4 linked regions of the Coturnix japonica genome follow. The protein of the gene in region 4 purifies or fractionates together with the protein of the main gene of each other region. This does not show direct contact. Links are inferred from orthologs where the notes say so. Each region holds a gene or a part of one and is shown on either strand. Other genes may lie near its edges.

Region 1 (5,079 bases), on a different chromosome or scaffold from region 4:
AAATGTCAATTCCTTGGGCAGTATTAGTCCATATTACAAACCCACAGTTGCCTGCCAAAGACAGCAGCACAATATTTTGTCTACTGAGAGAAAAGCACTTGTCAGTACCACTACCCTGATATTAGTGATCCTGAATCAAATGCAAAGCAGTCAATGTGGTGCTAATGTCAGCTCTGCACCTAAATAGATTATGGCAGCGATAATCAGAACCATTCTGCAAATTCTAGATTCACTCACAAATTAAATAATCACCACACAGAACACGCTATCTTCACGATACGCAGATCACATCTGCAAAGCCAGAACAGTCTACCTTGGTGTCTTCAGATCTGAGAGCATAAACTAACGGACATCCTTTTTCATGATTGTAGATTCTGAGATTTTACAGATAAAATTTGGTTTCTTAACTCAAAATCTTCAGTAGTTCTTAACTATAAATAGATGGTAATGAACAGAACTAGTTAGCTTCACTGCAAAAAGTAAGAAACCTTGATGTTTTCTGTGTCTGGTCCCCATAGGGATTCACTGCCATATCAGCGTCTTGCTACGGTCTCCTATGGTGCTAACAAAAAGTGAAGAATAGTTGTTTCATCCATCAGTGTCCTTCCTCAGGCCCAATGCTGAGGGAAGCTGCAGGATGTGAGAAAGGAGTGTTTCAGTTTCTCCCACCTGCAACTCTTTGACAATTGCTCACATCTCTCAAGTTTCTGCAGGAATGCTGATGACCCATTGGGCTCTTAGGAGGGAACCAGACTTTCTCTCATAAAAGAGAAAAATAAATGAGCAAACTAGCTCAGGGTTATGCAATATTAGGACAGTGAGAGCACAGCTAACCATTAACTGTGATTTCTATTCTGCAGCTAGGTATGAGAGGGATTTGTTTTCGTGCACTACCTAAATGGCACCTTTTTGCAGCACAAAAGCACCATTTAATTTTTCAGTTTCATTTTCAAAGACACTCCCTGTGGATCTTTCCAATCTTATTAAAATCTAATAAGACCAGCATGGCTTCTAATTAAAATAAAAATGCAAATGACTGCATATCACATTAAATTAGTAACTATGCCTCTATGCTTATGAGCAGAAAATGGCTTCACAAGACAAGCAGAGAGATGAGGGAACTAGAGTAGATGAGAAGAAAGTGAAAGAAACCTTTAAACCAACACACCTTGTGTTTGTGCTTCCCATTTTTACTTATGGGGAAAACCAGGTTGCAATGTAAAAGTAGACAAAATTAAGGTGTGAGCAGCTCAGACTTCACAGTACTGTTAGGTAAAACAGAAACTATAACAAATGGCAAACAAAGCTAACAGTGCTCAAAGAAAAAAAGTACCAGGTGGTCCCAACCTGGACATGAGATTGTACCTCTACAGTTGGTAGAGCAATGTAATACTTCAAACAGGGCACCTGGTGAGCTTATTTTGCTACAGTAATGTTATGGTATCACAGGCCATATTCACAATGCATAATACTCTGCACAGGGTCTTTCCTATTTGCTGCTTCAAACCAGTACTAAATCATACCCAGAGAAGCCTGGTTCTTTGCTTTGCCTTGACACAGAGACATCATTAAAACTGGGCTGTTAAAATATGGCCCTGACTTCATTCTGCCCTTTGTTGTGTGTCACTTTGCAGTTCTTAAAATAAGAGCTAATATGAGAAATAGCAAAAAAGAGACTTCTGTCAAAAGCATAAAAACTCATCAGGATTTCAAAGCTTTGCACGGTCTACCAAGTATAGTATTAAAACCTTGTAACCGATGAGCACAGAATAATTCCATCCTTACAATGAACCACTACTAATTCATTGGACAAGAAAAATCTAGAAGCCTTTAACTTGCATATAGAAATCGTTAACAAGCTGCATTTGAAGAGGGGAAATAGAAACCTCACTGCACGTACTACCAGGTTAACAGATTCATACCTGTTTCTGCAGCACCAAGAACATCCATGTTATCCCGGATGGCAGAAGGCAAAGTTAATGCCTGAATAGGAGTTGGAGCACTAAAACCCAGGGAACTCAAGGCCTTCAGCACTGGCTGAGGCACAAACAGGTCTCTCCATGCAGACACATCAGCTTGGTGATCAGTTGAGGTAGACAAAACTTCTGTTGTCCAATTTTTTACCTTTTTTGAAGTAGTTACTGGTGGAAAAGCATCCTGAACTTGAGAAGTCTTATTTTTAACTGCCTTCTCTTTCTTCTTTTTTTTCTTTGCAGCATTTTTTGTGCTTGACGTGCTCTCAATTATATGTGCACTGACCTTATGATTTGCCCCTTTGACTATTTCTTTGCATCTTTTTTCCTCACCAACTTGCACGTCAACTTCTGTTGCATTGGTATCATCGCTTTTATCTGCTCTGGTTCTTAAATCTTTGCACTTCTTTTTCTTTTTGGGAGGGGTGACAGCTTCTTCTTCCTCCTCGCTTTCTTCTTCTGAAAGATCCTCAGACTTTCTCTTCTGCTTGTTTCCTTTCCCCACTTTGTCTGAACTTACAAGCTTGTACTCCGTAAGCTCCTCCAGGCACACGACATCTTTAAACTGCTCATCAGCAAGTAGATTGGGGTCAATTTCCACAGCTTTCCATTTTCCCACTACTTCGATACCCTTTTGCCTCAGTTTAGCAGAAGATGTAAATCTTCGTTTTCTGAACTTCATTTTTACCTACGAAAACACTGTGAGAGAATAAAAACAAAACAGGGCATCAGATCAAAAGAATGAGGATTACATTGAGAATGCTAAAAAGAAGTGAATTCCAAAAGCATAATTATTTTCCTTTCTTAAAAAACACTTATGACTGTGAAAAGCCTTGAACATACCTTAAAAAACAAACAAACAAACAAAACCCTAAAACATGCTCTTGTTTCAGCACCATTAGTACTTAACACCTCCCTTTTCATCCTCTACTAGATATGGCCCCATCTGTTTGACTCCTTCACTTTAGATATTTATAAACAGTGAGGTCCCCTCTTAATCTTCTCTTGTCCAGGCTGAACAGCCCCAGGTCTCTCAGCTCCAAGCTTCTCATCACAGAATCACGGAATCACTCAGGTTGGAAAAGACCTTAAGATCATTGAGTCCAACCACAACCTAATCACACTACCTTAACTAACAACCCTCGGCTAAATCATGTTCTTGAGCATCGTCTTTGTGGCCTTCTGCTGGTCTGTCTCTAAGAGATCCCTGTTTACTTTTGAGCTGGGGAGTCCAGAACTGGGCACGGTGCTCCAGATGCGGCCTCACCAGGACAGAGCAGAGGGGAAGGATAAAATCACAGAATCCTTAGAGTCAGAACAGCCCTTTAAAGGTCATCTTGTCCAACTCCCCTGCAATGGAAACAGGGACACCCACAGCTAGATCAGGTTGGTCAGAGCCTCATCCGGCCTGGCCTTGAACGAGGTGCCCCCCAGGCCCAGAGCTCACCACAATCACGGGGTCAGGGCACGACCAAAGCTCGCTCTCGGTTGCCGTTAACGTCGCTCCACGCCGCGTGTGCACACCGTGGGCGCCGCCATTACAGCGTGACGTCACTGCGCAGCGCCCGCAGTGAGCCCCAGGGGATGGAGGGAGGAGGAGCGTAGTGCGCATGCGGAATTGGGTCCTGCGTGAGCTTGCTACGCTGTTTGCGTAGTGTGCCTAGCGCAGGGTACGCAACGCTTCTATCCTTTATGAGTACCCTGGGAGCTATGGTGCTGTTTGCATACATTACATTATTGCAGGTATTAGATGGTGCAGGCCTGACAAAGAAAGAATGGGAAAAATTGCCATTTAAGGCCTAGGACAAAAATAACACTAAGTCATTTGAAGGGCAGTTTCAGTTCCAGGTAATTCTCATTAACGCAGATCTGTTAATGCATCACACGTGGAGTTGCTTCCAATTCATATACTCCTAAGAGCAATTGAAGTTTGATGCTGCGTCCTCATGTTGTGTAAGAAGTGAGTTTGAACCAATGGGAATCCTCAAGTTCAGGAAGCAAGATTTGATACAGTTAAACCTGCAAACCTTATTTGTGTGTGGTGAACTGGGGATGCTGATGGCATCAACTTGTTGTGTAAGAGGCATTAAGGTTCTGAATTGTTTTGGAAAGGCATAACCGGGGAAACTGAATGCTTGCTTAGTTTTACAGTAACATTAATCTTCCTTAGTATAACCTCAGAGTGACACAGCTTTGGTACTTAGTGATAAGGCTTTTTCTACAAGATGCTCACATTTGTGTCCTGCAGGAAAGTTAGCTGTTACACAGGTGGTAAATACAGTTCTGTTACCTACAGTGCAGAGTGAGATGTTGGTTAAAATGACAATGAGAAGCAAAGCTTCTGAAGATCTGCTTTTCATCCTAAGGCTTCATTAGATCAACAGTTACATAAATACCAGGAAATTGTAATTTGGAGATAATAGCTAGTATTAGTAATAGTTATGAACCATGCCCCTTATATGTTTTTAAGACTCATATTTGTGCAAGCATATTTGATCATTTTATCAGTAATATCTAAATGATGTAATCCAACTATGTCTGAGGGTTCAAGGGAGGCTTGATGTGTTTATTACTTAACTGACAACAGATCATCCTGTCTATCCCAACTGTAAGCTTACAGTTTTGTAGATGAGTAGCCCAGAGATCATGGATTGTTCTCATTGGATATTACATGTTTTGTGAATAATGTTTTGATGCTTTGTAAAATATACAAGACTTCTCCTAGAGTAGGTCAAGCCGGAGATGTTTTCCTCCAGTACATTTAATTCTGGGATCAGTGATCAGTAGCCAAATTCAGGGCTAGGTACAGCTGAATCTGCATCTGAGCAAGTGATGTAGGTTTTCAGTGAGTAACCAAATCTGCAATGACTTAGTGTATTTTTTATTTTTCTCTTTCTCTTGCAGGAAGATCAGTAGTTAAGCAGGTACTGGGATCAGTGTATGCTTAACTACTGACCTTATTAGCCACTACAGCTAATAGAAGAATGTCACCGTATCATGATTTATATGGGTACTGCCTTATGGCACATTTTGCGTGACAGACATGTAGCCTCCGGTCTGTGGGGTAATTGAGTTCTCTTGTGACTTGCAGGCTGTAGAATTGGCT
Region 2 (5,232 bases), on a different chromosome or scaffold from region 4:
GCTTTAAATGGGCGATGTTTAATGTCACAGAGAATCACAGAATGACCCGGGTTGGAAGGGATCTCAAGGATCATGTAGTTCCAACCCCCCTGCCTGGCAGGGCCACCAAACATACACCTTTACTACATCAGGTTGCCCAGGAGACTCCATAGATCCCCATAGAGACACCATAGACCCCATAGATCCCCATAGAGACCCCATAGAGACCCCATAGACCCCATAGATCCCCATAGAGACCCATACAGGCCCCATAGACCCCATATAGGCCCCATAGACCCCATACAGGCCCCATAGACCCCATATGGGCCCCATAGACCCCATACAGGCCCCACAACCCCATATAGGCCCCATAGACCCCATAGATCCCCATAGGCCCCATAGATCCCCATAGAGACCCCATAGAGACCCCATAGATCAGGTTGCCCAGGGCCCCGTCCAACCTGGCCTTGAACACCTCCAAGGACGGGGCATCCACAACCTCCCTGGGCAGCCTGTTCTAGGGCCTAACCACTCTCCTAGTGAAGAACTTCCCCCTAACATCCAACCTAAATCTTCCCTCTTTTAACTTAAAACCATTTCCCCGTGTCCTGCTATTGTCAGCCCTTTCCAAGAGTTTAAGGGAAGAGTAAGTTCCCTTCAGGTATTGAAAGGCTGCAATGAGGTCACCCCGCAACCTTCTCTTCTCCAGGCTGAACAAACCCAACTCTCTCAGTGTTTCCTCATAACAGCCGTGTCCCAGCTCACCTGCAGCTCCTCGATCTTGGACAGGTAATACTGCCGCAGCCCAGTGCCGCCCTTCCCATCGTCCATCTCCATCTGCAGAACATTATCATATCACAGTATCACAGTCTCGTGCGGGTTGGAAGGGACCTTAGAGATCATCGAGTCCAACCCCCGGGATTCGAGCCTGTAGCAGAGCGGCACTTCTACCACTTGCGCCACAGGGGGGATTCGAACCCGGGCCTCCGGTGTTGCCTCCACCGGGGCACACGTTAAGGTCGGATCAGCCCCATCCCAAGGCCTCGCCCCCCCCCCTTCCCTCCCCCCCCCCCCCCCCCCCACCCCGGGTCCCGCCGAGTCATAGCGCCCAGTAGGCCGCGATCGGCCCTATCCCCACACAGCCCCACAGCCGACACCAGGCCGGCCTAGCCCGCCTCACCCTTACCCCCCCAGCCGGCCGTGAGCACCGCCCGCCCGGCTCTACCTGCTCGGGACCGTCCACCGCCATCTTCTCTGCCGGCATCGAACCCCTATGGAACACTATTGCCGGCAATAAAGATGGCCGCCGCTCCACTTCCGCCGCGCGCAGGACGCGATGGCGTCACTTCCTGGACGTGAGTGAGCAGACAGCGCATGCGTACTGTGAAGCCTACAGATTGCGCATGCGTAGTTTTGTCCCGCGGTGCCAATGGGTAACGCGATAGTTCACGGTGCACATGCGAAGTACGAAGCGTGCCCGCCATATTGGTAAGGTCAATGACAGAGTCTTGATTTTATGGTGTGCAGAAAGACCGAAAGCAGAATATAACAACCCCTATGGAACGCAGTCAGCCATGCCAACTTACCCACCAATCTGTGTTTGTTATCTTGGCAGAGGATGCTGTAAAGCAGTTCGGGGCTCCACTCCCAAGATGGCGGCGAGAGCTGAACGGAAGCGGAAGTGAGGCGTGCCGCGCGGTGCACGACGGGACGGTGGTGTTGTGAGCACGTGGGGCAGCCGGGGCTGTTTCCCCCTTTGGCTCCGCGCAGTTCGCTGCCGTTAACGGACATTAAAGCAGCGGCAACATGGGCAAGAAAAGCAAAGTCGGGAAGAGCCGCAGGGACAAGTTCTACCACCTGGCCAAGGAGACGGGTGAGCATTGCATCCTATGGGCCCGGCTGGGCTGAGCTATGGCAGCTCCTGACCCTCATATCTGCCCTCCATAGGGTTCCGCTCCCGATCCGCCTTCAAACTGCTGCAGCTCAACAGGAAGTTCCAGTTCCTGCAGAAAGCGCGAGCGCTGCTCGACCTGTGTGCGGCACCGGGCGGGTGGTGAGTGACACGGGGTGCATTGATGGGCTGCGAGATCATGGCAACACAGAGCCATGCAATGCAATGCAATGCAATGCAAAGCAACGCAACACAATGCAACAATGCAAAGCAATACAATGAAATGCAAAGCAATGCAATGCAAAGCGACGCAACGCAATGCAATGCAGAGCAAAGCAATGCAAAGCAATGCAATGCAACAATGCAAAGCTATACAATGAAATGCAAAGCAATGCAATGCAAAGCGATGCAACGCACTGCAATACAATGCAACAATGCAAAGCAATACAATGCAGTGCAACGCAATGCAAAGCGACGCAACACAATGCAATGCAAAGCAACACAATGCAACAATGCAAAGCAATACAAAGCAGTGCAAAGCAACGCAATGCAAAGCAACACAATGCAATGCAATGCAGAGCAAAGCAATGCCGAGCAATGCAACGCAATGCAATACAATGCAACAATGCAAAGCAATACAGTGCAGTGCAAAGCAATGCAACGGTGCAAAGCAATACAATGCAATGGAGAGCAATGCAACGCAATGCAGAGCAGTGCAATGCAAAGCAACACAATGCAGAGCAATGCAACGCAATACAAAGCAATGCAAAGCAACGCAGTGCAAAGCAACACAATGCAATACAAGGCAATGCAAAGCAATGCAACGCAATGCAAAGCAATGCAATGCAATGCGATGCAAAGCAATGCAACACAATGCAATGCAATGCAAAGCAATGCAAAGCAAAGTAATGCAATGCAAAGCAATGCAATGCAAAGCAATGCAATGCAAAGTAACACAAAGCAAAGCAATGCAACGCAATGCAACACAAAGCAATGCAATGCAACGCAAAACAACGGAGAGCAATGCAAAGCAATGCAACACAATGCAAAGCAATGCAACGCAGCCCCTTTGCTTGCTGTTGTGGCAGCACTGATTGGGATTGAGGGCTCTTCTCAGTGCCTTTGGGCTTCTCTGTTCCTTACAGGCTGCAGGTGGCTTCCAAATTCATGCCAGTCTCCAGTTTGGTCATTGGTGAGTATTGAGGTGGTGGGTTGGGAGATGCCTTGGGATGGGATGGAGTGTATTACTGATGTGTGTTGTTCATATCAAGGGGTGGATCTGGTTCCTATCAAGCCCATTCCCAACGTTGTGACGCTGCAGGAGGACATCACCACTGAGAAATGCCGCCAGGTGAGGACTGGTGTCCTTTGCATTGAGTATCACTGCAGCTCTGTAAGGGATGGGGGTATCACCCTGCATGAATAGGACTCAATGAGGAGTGAAACCAGCAGCAGGGCTGAGCAGATCACTGTGTAGGGAGCTATGGATGCAGACTGGGGCGGTTGCTTGCTGGCTTATGCAAAACAACTTGTAACTTGTTGGCTCAAGCAGAACTAACACGAGTTCTGTCCTTCAGGCTCTGCGCAAGGAGCTGCAGACGTGGAAGGTGGACGTGGTGCTGAATGATGGAGCACCCAACGTGGGGGCCAGCTGGGTGCATGATGCCTATTCGCAAGGTGGGGGTCACCCAGAGCTGGTGCATGCTTGGAGAAGCTGGCGTAGCAATGTGCACTGTGAGACATGGAGCAGGTTGGTTGGGGACAGCACTAACTCTGATGACTGCTTTTCTCTACCGCTGCAGCCAACCTGACTCTCATGGCTCTGAAACTGGCCTGTGAGTTTCTCTGCAAAGGTGGATGGTTTATCACCAAGGTTTTTCGATCCCGGGACTACCAGCCTCTCCTCTGGATCTTCCAACAGTTCTTCCATAAAGTCCAGGCTACTAAACCACAAGCCTCACGCAATGAGTCTGCTGAGATCTTTGTGGTGTGCCAGGGTGAGTGGCTGTGCTGACTTCTTGTTGCTTCTTGTTGTATTAAATGGAGGCTTGGAGACACCCATTGGTCTCTAATTTCTCTCACTCCAGGTTATCAGGCTCCAGACAAAATTGACAGCAAGTTCTTTGACCCGAAATACGCCTTCAAGGAGGTGGAGGTTCACGCTAAGTCTGTTAGTGAGCTCATCAGCAAGAAAAAGCCAAAGGTATGAGGGGAGTTGTTTGTTGGGGTGGGCTGAGAGTTACTTATCATGGGGCTGTCCCATGTTAAGAGCCAAGGAAAGAGCCTCTGGCTCTACGTCTTTCCCTAGTCTTGCTTGTCCTGGCCAGCAATCTGATCTTCATGGGATAGGTGGACAAAGAAGCTTGTTTTTAGCTGCTAAGTCTGTGGAAAGCAGAGCTGGGTGGTTATAACAGACTTGCTGGCAGGTGAAGAGCTGCAGGAAGGTGGTAGCAGAGTGCTGGGCAGGCAACCAGTTTGTTTGTGGCCAAATAAATGAAAGGAGTTAGGGCTTGGGGCTAAAGAGAGTGTAATAGAAAGGTGTGGGGTATGAGGTGCTGGAATAGCCACTGTTAGGGGGGTTTATGCATTTAGATGGTGGTGCAGTGCTGGAGAAATGACAAGTTGTGAGGCTGAGAATGGGTCAGTAAAACTCCCTTTTGCAATAGCTGGCCTGTTGGTTTGTGAGTCATTGAGGTGCTTTTAGGACACACAACACTGAAAACTCTGCCAAGCAGCCTCAGCTGGACATGGAGCTTCACAAACCCTTATGTTATCACCTGTGTGCTAGGTGAGGCTGTAGGAGGCATCCTAGAGCTGTCCCCATTCTCAGCATGCAGGTAGGGGCTGTCCTTGTTCCTGGATTGCGTAGGCACGTTTATGTAGGCTGCTGCAACAACACATGAATGACATTGAATTGATAACATCTGGGAGATGGCTGAAGCTGCCTTGTGCCTTGCTGTAGCTTAAACAGTGCCTTCCTCCTGTAGGCAGAAGGATATGCAGATGGTGACACCACTCTCTACCACCGCTTCACCCTGATGGACTTCCTCAAGGCTCCCAACCCTGTGGACTTCCTCTCTAAGGCCAACGAGGTGAGAGGCTTTGGTGGCCCCAGAGATAGATCTGCATGAGCACAGAGCCGTGAGGAGGGGCAGCTGGGTGACCCAGGTCCCTTTTCCCTGTGGAAGGGAGGTAGGATGAAAGCTGGGTCTCGGAAGTCACGGCCTCATCACTGTTCATGCAGATCACGCTGGGGGATGGAGAGCTGGAGAATCACAGTTCCACCACGGAGGAGCTGCGTCAGTGCTGCAAGGACATCCGTGTGCTGGGGCGCAAGGAGCTCAGGTACTGGGGGGGACTGG
Region 3 (5,173 bases), on a different chromosome or scaffold from region 4:
ATAGGGAGGTGATTGTCCCTCTCTACTCTGCTCTTGTGAGGCCCCATCTGAGTACTGTGTCCAGGTGTGGAGCCCTCAGTACAAAAAGATATGAGATTTTGGAAAGGGTCCAGAGAGCGGACAGGAAGATGATCAGGGGGCTGGAGCACCTCCCTATGAGGACAGCTGCGAGGGAGTTGGGTTTGTTCAGCTGGAGAGAGAAGGTTGCGGGTGTACCTCATTGCAGCCTTTCAATACCTGAGGGAACTTACACCCAGGAGGGGAGTAAAACTCTTCGAAAGGCGCGACAATAGCAGGACAACGGGGAAATGGTTTGAAGTTAAAAGAGGGAAGATTTAGGTTGGATGTTAGGGGGAAGTTCTTCACTAGGAGAGTGGTTAGGCCCGGAACAGGCCTGCCCAGGGAGGCTGTGGATGGCCCCGTCCTTGGAGGTTTCAAGGCCAGGTTGGACGGGGCCCTGGGCAACTGATCTAGTAAATGTTTATGTTTGGTGGCCCTGCCAGGCAGGGGGTTGGAACTACATGATCCTTGAGGCCCCTTCCAACCCGGGTCATTCTGTGATTCTGTGTATACTGTTCTATTAGCTGTCCCAACACACGGGCTTCTAGCCCCATGGGAAGGAGGCTGCTCCCACAGCAGTGCCTGTAGCAGCTCCTATGGAACATCAGAGCCCTGTCCCACCCCCTCCTACTTAAAAGTAGCAGGCACTTCTCCCTGCTGCCGCCCCACAACAGCAGCATCCCCACCTTCCCATGGCCACTATCTGTCCCTACAGCCTTCAGCTGGGCTACAGATATATAGAAAACAGGACAACAGGGGCTTCCTAGCAATGAACAGAGCTCACAACGAGGCCCAGGAGTGAAAGGTTCCAACAGAGCTTTATTACACCGAGCCGACAGCACCTTTTGTACTTAAAAGAAAGTATTTGGTCTCTTGGTGGTGAAACGCGGCTTGTGCTGACGGCGCAGAACTCTGTGCGGCAGAGGGAACTTGATCTTAGAATCCTGCAAGGAAAATAGCAGCGTTGAGATACTCTTGCCCACAAAGCAACCATCATAACAGTATCAGTCTTGTGCGGGTTGGAAGGGACCTTCGAGATCATCGAGTCTAACCCCCGGGATTCGAGCCTCCTGTGTAGCAGAGCGGCACTTCTACCACTTGCACCACAGGGGGATTTGAACCCGGGCACCAGTGTTGCGATGCGGCAACCGGGGCACACAGCTCTGTCCTGTCCCTGCAGCCTCCCATCAGCCCAGGGCCCAGCAGACACTGCAGTGTTACTTACATGGAACTGCTTGACCGCTGGCCGGCGGCACTTGCTAGCAGCGATCTGCTCCACCTTCATGATCTGAATGGAGTGAGCACGGGCACGATGGCGGGCTCCCATATCACGGTCTGCAACAAGACAGCTCATAACATCGCCAAAGGAACACCAGCTTATTCTGAGCTCAAGATACGCACTTAGAGAAATAACCCAGAAGGGATTGACCTTCTTAAAACAAGGGAGCTGATGGAGAATCAGCACTGAAGTGTTATTAATGGACAAATATACTTAGAATTCCTGAATGATCGCGACAGGATACTTCGCTATCAGTCATTGCATTATGACAAACTTAAGCCTGAGGCCTCTTTTCAGTGCATGAATTAACAGAAAACACCCTATTTATGATCATGTAGAACCTCAAGTTTCACTTTCAAGAGCACTTCAGCTCCAGAAAGGCGACAAGATGCATTTAATATCTGCACACCCGACAAGAATATTGTTATGAAGAACAACATCCTTTGGGTTTTTGTGTGCATTTTGTACAGTTTCAAGTACAACTATTGACAGAATCAGCTATAATAGATGGTCTGCTCCATGAGTACTTCACATAACAGAAACTGAGATATGAGATCTGAAATATTCCTTCAACAAGGCCATTCTGAAACATTATATATGGCAAACATCTCCACCCAGAGCACCTGAAAGGCAAAGAAACCCAGCCTATATCATTACCACAGCTACAATGAGTGTGAGCTCACACCTACAGACCCCTCCAGCAGCTTCCTGATTTAGTTTCCTAGAGCTTCATTCTTTCTACCTCGTGGTTTAAGGCAGCATTCTTACCTAAGACTCAGTTTAAGACTTAAGGTTATAGAGGTTCTACCTCAAACAGTGACACGAACTTACAGCACTGAGTGACGGCACCAGCAGTGGTCAGATCCCTGTACTCTCTGTACATGTTGTGAGTCCCACTACGAGAATCGTAGCGCAGCCAAATCCCAAAGTTCTTTACCCGTAGGGGGGTCTTCTCATACACCTGGAATTAGAAAAGGGGGCAAAAAAAGGATAAACACATCATTAGTATTTCAGTTTAACTATAGTGAAGCTCTAATGAAAGCACTATGGGAAGTTTTAGGGGAAGATATCGTCCCACACCAACACAGTTGCATTCAAGCTAATAATTCTGTCAACTTCTTAATTCTGCTTTACATCAGTAAGGAAATACATGGAAAAGGACATTCAATAAGATATGTAAGTGTATGTTCTCCAAGGATTATGGATGTCCACATAAATCTTATGAGGTATAAGCCCAACAAATGAGTGTGAGGCCCAGAAAGCAGCACAGAGTACAATAAGAACTTAAGTCATTATGGTTCCAGAAAGTTAATCTTGGGCTTTTTTTTGACAATTTGTTGTTTTCTAAGCTCCATGGGTATACGCTGCCATTGTGACAAGAGGAATGTGTGGTTAACTCAACAGCATTAGGATGGTGAGCTGAGCTTCAAGTAACTTTATATATACCAGTGAGAATCACAGAATGACCCAGGTTGGAAGGGACCTCAAGGATCACGTAGTTCCAACCCCCCTGCCTGGCAGGGCCAACAAAGATGTATGAAATTCCCTTCAAAATCCCCCATATCATCGTGTTTGCCATCCCCCACCTGACCGCAGTACACAATCTCTCCAGAAGACTTTTTCATCTTCTTCAGCTGAGACACGAAATACCAGAACCGGGACTTGGCAACGACGTGGTTTGGAGCGAAGATCCGCATCCTGTAGAGCGGCGGAGTCCTGCATTTCGGCGTGGGCAGACTGCGCCCGACCACCTTGTACTCCCGCAGCTGCAGGGGGACGAAACACAGTGAGTCGAGCGGCGAGAGGCGCAGGGCAGAGACCCGTAGCCGTAACGGCGAGGAGCCGCACGGAGCCCGAAGAGCAGCCGAGCCCTGTGAGGCTGCCGGCCAGGCCAATGGCGCCTCCCCCCCTCACGCGTCGTGCCGCAGCACCGCCGCCATATTGGCCGCTCGCCTCCTTGCGGGGCCCAACGGGGCCGCCCAGAGGCGCAGATCCCGCTCTGGAGCTGCTCCGCGAGCCGTCCCCGCCGCGCTCCCAAGGCCCGGTGCCGGCCCGGTGCCTGCTGCGAGACGCGGCCGCGTTCCGAGGCCTGCACTCACGGTGCCCGACGCCTTCATGCTGCCGCCGCCGCCGCCCGCAGGAAAGGAAAGGAACGGAAAGGGAAGGGAAGGCCGCACGCGGCCGCCTCACGTCACCCGCCCCCCGCAGCACCGCCCGCTGTCCCGCCCGGCCGTTGGTGCGGTTGGCCGAGGCTGCTGTCAGTCTCCGCCCTCCCCTGGGCTGCCTTCTCGGGCCGCCTCCTTCTCCTTCTCCTCCTCCCGCCGCCAGCCGAGGCGGCGCGGCCTGCGCGGCCCGGCCCGCTCCCTTATGCTCGTGGCGACATCGCAGCTGTGGGGCGGGAGCCGGCACCGCCGCCATGGAGGAGTGACCGGGAAGGTAACGGCGGCCGGGAGCTGGGCAGCTCGACGGGCCGTTGGCGGGCGGGGGGGCGGCCGAGGTGGCGGCGGCCTCCGCCTCTTTGCCTGCCCGGCTGCGGGGAGCGGCCCCGACACCCCGCGTTGCTCCCGAGGCCGGCGGCGGAGGAGGCCCCGGTCCCTTGGAGCTGTGCCCCTGTGCGGGAGGGACCCGCGGCGTTGGAGGGGGAAGGGGAAAGCTGGGACGGGGGGAACTTTCTAGGCTGTCGGAGAAGTTGTGGGAGCTGCCCTCATTGCGGCACTGCTCGGACATGTGTGAAGCCGACGTAAAGGCTTTGGGTCCGAAAGGACCACGTAGGGTTAGCGAGAAACCTCAGGCTCTGCCTGCTGACACGACCTTGTAAATACCCCCAATTGAATGGTGTAAATGAGGCGCTTTAATCTCTAATTGTTCTGCTGCTCATCACCTGTAGTGTGTGCTCTCAGCACTTTTATGGCTCAGCTCTGCCTGCTGCGTGGTGCTGCACATCTCTGACCATATAATATGTCCACCTCCCTCACCCCAGCTGTGACTGCATTTGTTTCTGGTGTAACTGATGGCCTTCTGAGTGGGCTAGTCAAGCTGGAACTCTTAGAACAGGGTATATGTTAGAAGATCAAATGTTAAATATGCTTGTGTATGCATATTGGAGGGGTATGCAGGGGTAGCAGAGCTGACTGGCTCTGCTGTGAGCTGAACATGTGAAGGGAGCACATCTCTGAGCCATGTTACTTTCAATAGTGAGGCCTGTCAGCAGTGTGTAGGAGATTACTACATGGGGACAGAGATTCTAGTGATAATCAGCGGGAAGAATAAGCCAAAAACAGGCTGGTGTATGTTAAAACAGTTTTACGTGTGTAACTGTGGGCCAGACCCCAAGTGGAAGAAGCCATTTTTCGTGTTTGTTCTTGTCTGGCTGCTCTGGATGTCGGTTATGGGGAAAACAAGCTGGGGGTACAGGGGGAGAAACGTGTTTAGAGCAGCTTTAATCCCTGCAGGTTCTGACCCCCAGCCGGGCGGCTCAGTGTTGTCATGCAGAGCACAGAGCTTGTTTTGCCACAACTCATCGCTTTGTTCCAGACTTTCTGGTTCCTCTGCTGCCACAGTTTGCAATTTTCTTTCCATTTTGTATGAACTTGTAAAAAATTCTCCTTACTAAACCGTCCTTCGTGTTGCATTTAGTTACAGTGATTCTGTAAGGAACCTTACAGAAATACCTGCCTGAAGTCGCGTTGATTGCTGAGCTGTCCCTTTCAGGCTTGCTTCCTCGGCTGTCACTGTGCCACCTTTCTTCCAGTGGGGGAGGGTGGAAGGCAGCGCCTGCACCGGGCACGTAATGCTCAGAAATGGGACATTCTACCTGCAGGCAGATTGAACCAG
Region 4 (4,511 bases):
GGCTGCATTCGATGGACCTGGCTCCAGATGCAGCTGGGTGCAGCACACTGCTAACAGCCACCTCCACTAATACAACACAAATATGCGTTTTAAAAGAAAACTGTTTGCTCTGGGCAGATACATTTTATTTCTCTTCTGTTTCTCTCTGTTGTATCAAGTCTTGTAATAACCTTTTCCAGCGCTGCTTATCTGTTTCTAACACACTCATGCTGTGTTGGTATTTCTGCCAACCATGGTGATCACATTAATCTCAAAGCACAGTGCAAACCTTAACTACAGACATATGGATGTTCTACGGGTCTGAGGTGTAAACACTGCCTGTTTCACATCAATAAGCAGATGCTCCCCCCCTCAAAAAGTGGCTGGTGGTGATCATCAGGCTGTCAATGCAACTCCATTGCATGCCTAAGGTGACAAGCGTTTGATAGAAAGACAAACGCACCCAAGTGGCTTCCCCAACAGCTCCCCGACAGCAAAGGAAAGTGATTTGAGTCACTGAGAGAATACCATTATAATTACATACACCTTCATTGCTTCTCACCTTCCTGAACCCTTTTTAAGTCCATTGACCATTCCACACTGTGGCAAAGGGTGACATTCCCCGCAGTGCTGAAAGCCGATGGCTCAAGGGGGCAGCATGGTGTCCTGGCTCTGCACAACACAGCTCAGGGAAAACCTGACTGATCACCAACAAGATGAAATGTAAGGAATGTCTCCCCTTCTATTGGTGTAATTATGTGAGAAATCACACACAGCACAGACTCGCAGTTAAACAGAAGCATTACCAAAGCCAACGCAACTAAGAACAGTTAAAAACTGTATTTTAAGTCATCGTGAATAAGTATAAAATACAGACGCCATCAGCATGGACAGCCTGACATTTCCTTTCAAACCTGTGGGTGCTAGAAACAAATGACAGAACCATCACAAGGCTCTGCCATGACTGTAGGCACTTCTGAGTGCAAAGCCAAGACAATCTTCACAGGCAAAGACAGAGCTCCCAGCAGCCAGCAGCAGGGAACTACTGCTGAGTACTTCCCTGCCCATGAAAGACAAGCAGCCCGGTCAGAAAATCTGAGACAGGGCAGCAGAAACTCCACCTCATTGTTTTGATTTGAAGAAGAGGAAAAACGTGGCTACGGCCATCAGAACTTTAAGCCTACTTTTGTTTCTTTGAGTTGTTTTTTTTCCTTGGCTGCTTCTTTGGTCTCTGCGCAGTTTTCTTAGCGCTTGGAGGGGGCAGTTTGATCACTATTTCATTGTCTTCTGTGTCATCATCCGCCTGGTGAGCTTTCCTGCGCTGCAGCACTGTAGGAGTACAGACCGGAGTAGGATCCTGAAGAGAGCAGAAAAACACGATTCATTGCAAAGCAGCTGCCAGAGAAAGTCATCACTGCCTCCATGGTACCACAAGGCACCTCAGTGCAGCCTTCACAGCTTCCAACTGCAGACTTGAGCCGCCTGGCTCAGGATGGATGGATTGTGGTGCTGGGTGGCAGCACCGTTTGGTCTTACCTGGCTGGTCAGAGAAACATTCTGCTTGGGCTTGGATGCTTTTGCTTTCTTCCACTTGGCAGGAAGGCTCTGTGCAGCCTAGGAAGCAAAACAGAGGAGGAGAATCATTACAAACTTCCCACACGAATAGTTCTTTATAACTACAAAAGCTTTGCTGCAGGAATCACCCAAATCACACGGGTTGGAGCTTGGGAAAGGCCCGTGTTGCTCTTCTGTGTCCTACAAATCTAAACAAGGGACTATCACCCATTGAAACCAGCCCAGACTCACAAATCCAGGGAAGCTGTACTTGATCCCTTTTTCAGCCAGTCTCTTCCGCAGATTGTTCTCCTTCCGCAGCAGCCGCTTGGCCATCTTTGCCTTCTCAACCAGGGAACGGACCTTGTTGTAGCGCTTCACCGCCGGCTGGGACGGCTTATGGAACATGCGGTGGCTGTTTTTGAAGAGGTCAGCGTGGACCCTTTCAGGAGGCATGAACTGACCTGTATCATGTGCACGGATCACACTGTAACATCACCCACAGCCACACCGAGCACCATTATGGCGCTGTAACACACAGGAAAACCCCTTGGGGCCAAAGAAAACCAATAAAGACACAAGATTCTTCACGCGGCCCCCCCAGAAGCACAAGTGTGTGTGGGTTTGCTGTGCTCATTACAGACCGTGACCCGGGGCCGTACTCACACTTGAGCAGCCTCTCAGAGAACAGGTAATTGTTCATCGTGTCTGCCACGATCTTGGCCACGTCGTCAGACTCGAACTCGATGAAGGCGTAGCCTTTGCTGCCTCCCGTCTGCAAACAACAGCACAGAGACCTGAGACAATGCTGTGATACCTACATTAAAACGCTTCGTGATTCCAGACCCGCCGTGCAGCGGGAGCCCCCTGTGCCCGCTCGGGGAACAGCAGCCGATCACTACGCACCTTCTTGCTCCGTGAGAGTCTCATTCTCGTTACGGTTCCGAACTGCTGGAAGTATTCCCGGAGCTGCGGCTCGCACAGCCCGCGCGGGAGGTGCCCCACGTACACCACGCCCGGGGTCAGCCGCTCCTGCGGGACACAGCGCCCGCGTCACCACGGAACGGAGCGGGATGGAGCGGGTCGGGTCCGTCCGTGCGCCGCACTCACCTGCGCCGCCTTGTTGCTGCGGACACGCCGCACCTTGTTCTGCACCGCGCGCTGCAGCTGCGGCTCCAGGGACAGGAACGACGGCGGTGCCGCGCCGCACGAGGCCGCCTCCGCCATGATGCTCCTCACAGCGCCGGGCGGAACTGCGTCATCTCCCCTCGCGGCGGCAGCGTTGCACATCCGCCGTCTCCCAGTCCCGGTGCCTCCTGTAGCTCCGTTCGCTCGGCCCGCACAGCGCAGGGCGGAGCCATCGCCGCTCGGCGCCGTGACACCGGCCGCTCCCCGCACTGCGCTGCTCCCTTCAGCCCCGGGCTGTTCATCAGGCATCGCTCGGGGCAGCCCGAGGCGGTGTCGGTGCGGCGCCATGTCAGTGAGCGCCATGTTCGTGGCGCTGCAGGGCGCGCTCACGGCCGACCAGGACATCAGAGAGGTGGGAGCGGGACGGGACGGGACGGGCTGGGGTCTGGGGTCTGGGAGCTGTACAGCACGGCTGTGGGGCACGGCTGTACAGCACGGCTGTGCTCTGTGCCCGCAGGAGATCAGGAAGGTGGTGCAGGCGCTGGAGCAGACGGCCCGGGAGATGCTGACGCTGCTGCAGGGGGTGCACCAAGGGAACGGCTTCCAGGACAGTGAGTGCGGGCGGGGACTGACACGGGGCGTGTGCAGCGGTACCACAGGAATCGATATGGGGCCAAACGGCACGGGGCTGTGCAGTACCGAGGGGTTCAGCCCTGTACTATATCCCAATATATATTATTTGTGCTTTATTTAATACTAATAGCTACTTGAAGGCGAGAGGTGGCTGTGAAAATAGTAGCACTCGGTGACTGCAGCTGTATTTCCGTGTGGTTGAAGTGGTGCTGCTGCCAAAAGAAGCCGTGCTGGGTGCTGTGATCTCTATCGGGCCATCACAAGTGGCAGCGCTGCTCCCTGCTGCTACAGCCTTTGTAATGAGTCTTTATCAGCAGCTGCAGAGAGATGGAAACTCGAGGAGACGGCAGAGACACAGTGAAAAGCACTCAGTGGATTTAAGCCAGGCAGGGCAATTTGTAACCCCAAAGGGAAGGGCAAGGGGTGGCTCAAGGTACCTTCATAGAACTGTGTGATAACTGAAAATTATGGGCTCTGTCTGACCTTGCACTCAATGCCCCTTTCAGCCTTTCCCCACCTCCACTTCTCATCTGTCCTCATCGTTACACATTTGTAGCCCTGTTCCATGCAAAACGCTGGGTTCACCCACAGCATAACTTCTATCACACGAGTAATTAGTCACCATTGTTTCTTTTCCAGTACCAAAGAAATGTCAGAAGGCTCGGGAACACTTCGCTACAATAAGAACACAGATGGAATCTCTGAAGACCAAGTTTCCTGCAGATCAGTATTACAGGTGGATCTGAGCATGGGGCAAGCGTATGTGGCACCTCTGATTTAGAAGTGTGGTTGAAAGGCTCACAGAACCAGTGGATCTGCTTGAGAAGTGCTGAGCAAGTGTGAGATCTTAGGAAGGAAATCGTGAGAAATTGATGTTCTGTTGTAGCATCCCTTGGTTGTGAAAGCATTCGCTGCTCCGTTAATTGCAGTTAAGCTGTTAGGTCTAAATCTGCCACAAAACAGCTGTTTGATGCTGCAGATCATGAATGAAGTCATCACCTTTGTTTGATTTGTGGCCAGAAGGGGGCAGTGTGTAGCAAGGACAAATCACAGGCCAGGGGTGTCAGCTCAGAAATGCTGCGGGGAGACGAGGGGGAAGGAGGACACTCAGCTCGGGGGTGGTTCTGGGGACCGAGGAGCGGATTTCAAGCTTAGTGTGGTTTGGTGAGCAAATAACCTCACAGAGTGAGATGTGTACAGGTTGGAAACGGCCTGTA

The links. The genes of interacting proteins can lie anywhere in the genome.
Region 1: the proteins of NIFK (region 4) and DDX24 purify together in Homo sapiens (affinity purification with mass spectrometry; 3 studies listed by BioGRID and IntAct, counting the BioPlex papers as one, with this or other methods). This does not show direct contact. The link is inferred for Coturnix japonica from reciprocal best matches to the Homo sapiens genes NIFK and DDX24.
Region 2: the proteins of NIFK (region 4) and FTSJ3 fractionate together in Homo sapiens (co-fractionation; 3 studies listed by BioGRID, with this or other methods). This does not show direct contact. The link is inferred for Coturnix japonica from reciprocal best matches to the Homo sapiens genes NIFK and FTSJ3.
Region 3: the proteins of NIFK (region 4) and RPL18A fractionate together in Homo sapiens (co-fractionation; 3 studies listed by BioGRID and IntAct, with this or other methods). This does not show direct contact. The link is inferred for Coturnix japonica from reciprocal best matches to the Homo sapiens genes NIFK and RPL18A.

The regions. Positions count from the first base shown.
Region 1 is NC_029520.1:41,191,950-41,197,028, forward strand, and holds the start of DDX24 (ATP-dependent RNA helicase DDX24), read right to left. Parts: upstream 3,564-5,079; 5' UTR 3,421-3,563; intron 2,673-3,420; 5' UTR 2,656-2,672; coding exon 1,923-2,655; intron 1-1,922. UniProt on the Homo sapiens protein: ATP-dependent RNA helicase that plays a role in various aspects of RNA metabolism including pre-mRNA splicing and is thereby involved in different biological processes such as cell cycle regulation or innate immunity.
Region 2 is NC_029542.1:1,242,907-1,248,138, reverse strand, and holds the start of FTSJ3 (pre-rRNA 2'-O-ribose RNA methyltransferase FTSJ3), read left to right. Parts: upstream 1-1,669; 5' UTR 1,670-1,785; coding exon 1,786-1,852; intron 1,853-1,926; coding exon 1,927-2,032; intron 2,033-3,015; coding exon 3,016-3,062; intron 3,063-3,141; coding exon 3,142-3,221; intron 3,222-3,447; coding exon 3,448-3,547; intron 3,548-3,672; coding exon 3,673-3,867; intron 3,868-3,957; coding exon 3,958-4,073; intron 4,074-4,857; coding exon 4,858-4,962; intron 4,963-5,114; coding exon 5,115-5,215; intron 5,216-5,232. Other genes in the region: PSMC5 (26S proteasome regulatory subunit 8), read right to left, coding at 745-816, 1,205-1,243.
Region 3 is NC_029516.1:30,537,950-30,543,122, forward strand, and holds RPL18A (60S ribosomal protein L18a), read right to left. Parts: upstream 3,564-5,173; 5' UTR 3,457-3,563; coding exon 3,439-3,456; intron 3,106-3,438; coding exon 2,926-3,105; intron 2,301-2,925; coding exon 2,171-2,300; intron 1,802-2,170; exon of another isoform or gene 1,670-1,801; intron 1,396-1,669; coding exon 1,286-1,395; intron 1,005-1,285; coding exon 912-1,004; 3' UTR 860-911; downstream 1-859.
Region 4 is NC_029522.1:20,723,013-20,727,523, reverse strand, and holds NIFK (MKI67 FHA domain-interacting nucleolar phosphoprotein), read right to left. Parts: upstream 2,761-4,511; coding exon 2,644-2,760; intron 2,566-2,643; coding exon 2,440-2,565; intron 2,309-2,439; coding exon 2,200-2,308; intron 1,998-2,199; coding exon 1,786-1,997; intron 1,594-1,785; coding exon 1,516-1,593; intron 1,337-1,515; coding exon 1,160-1,336; downstream 1-1,159. Other genes in the region: TSN (translin), read left to right, coding at 2,759-3,073, 3,155-3,272, 3,934-4,030.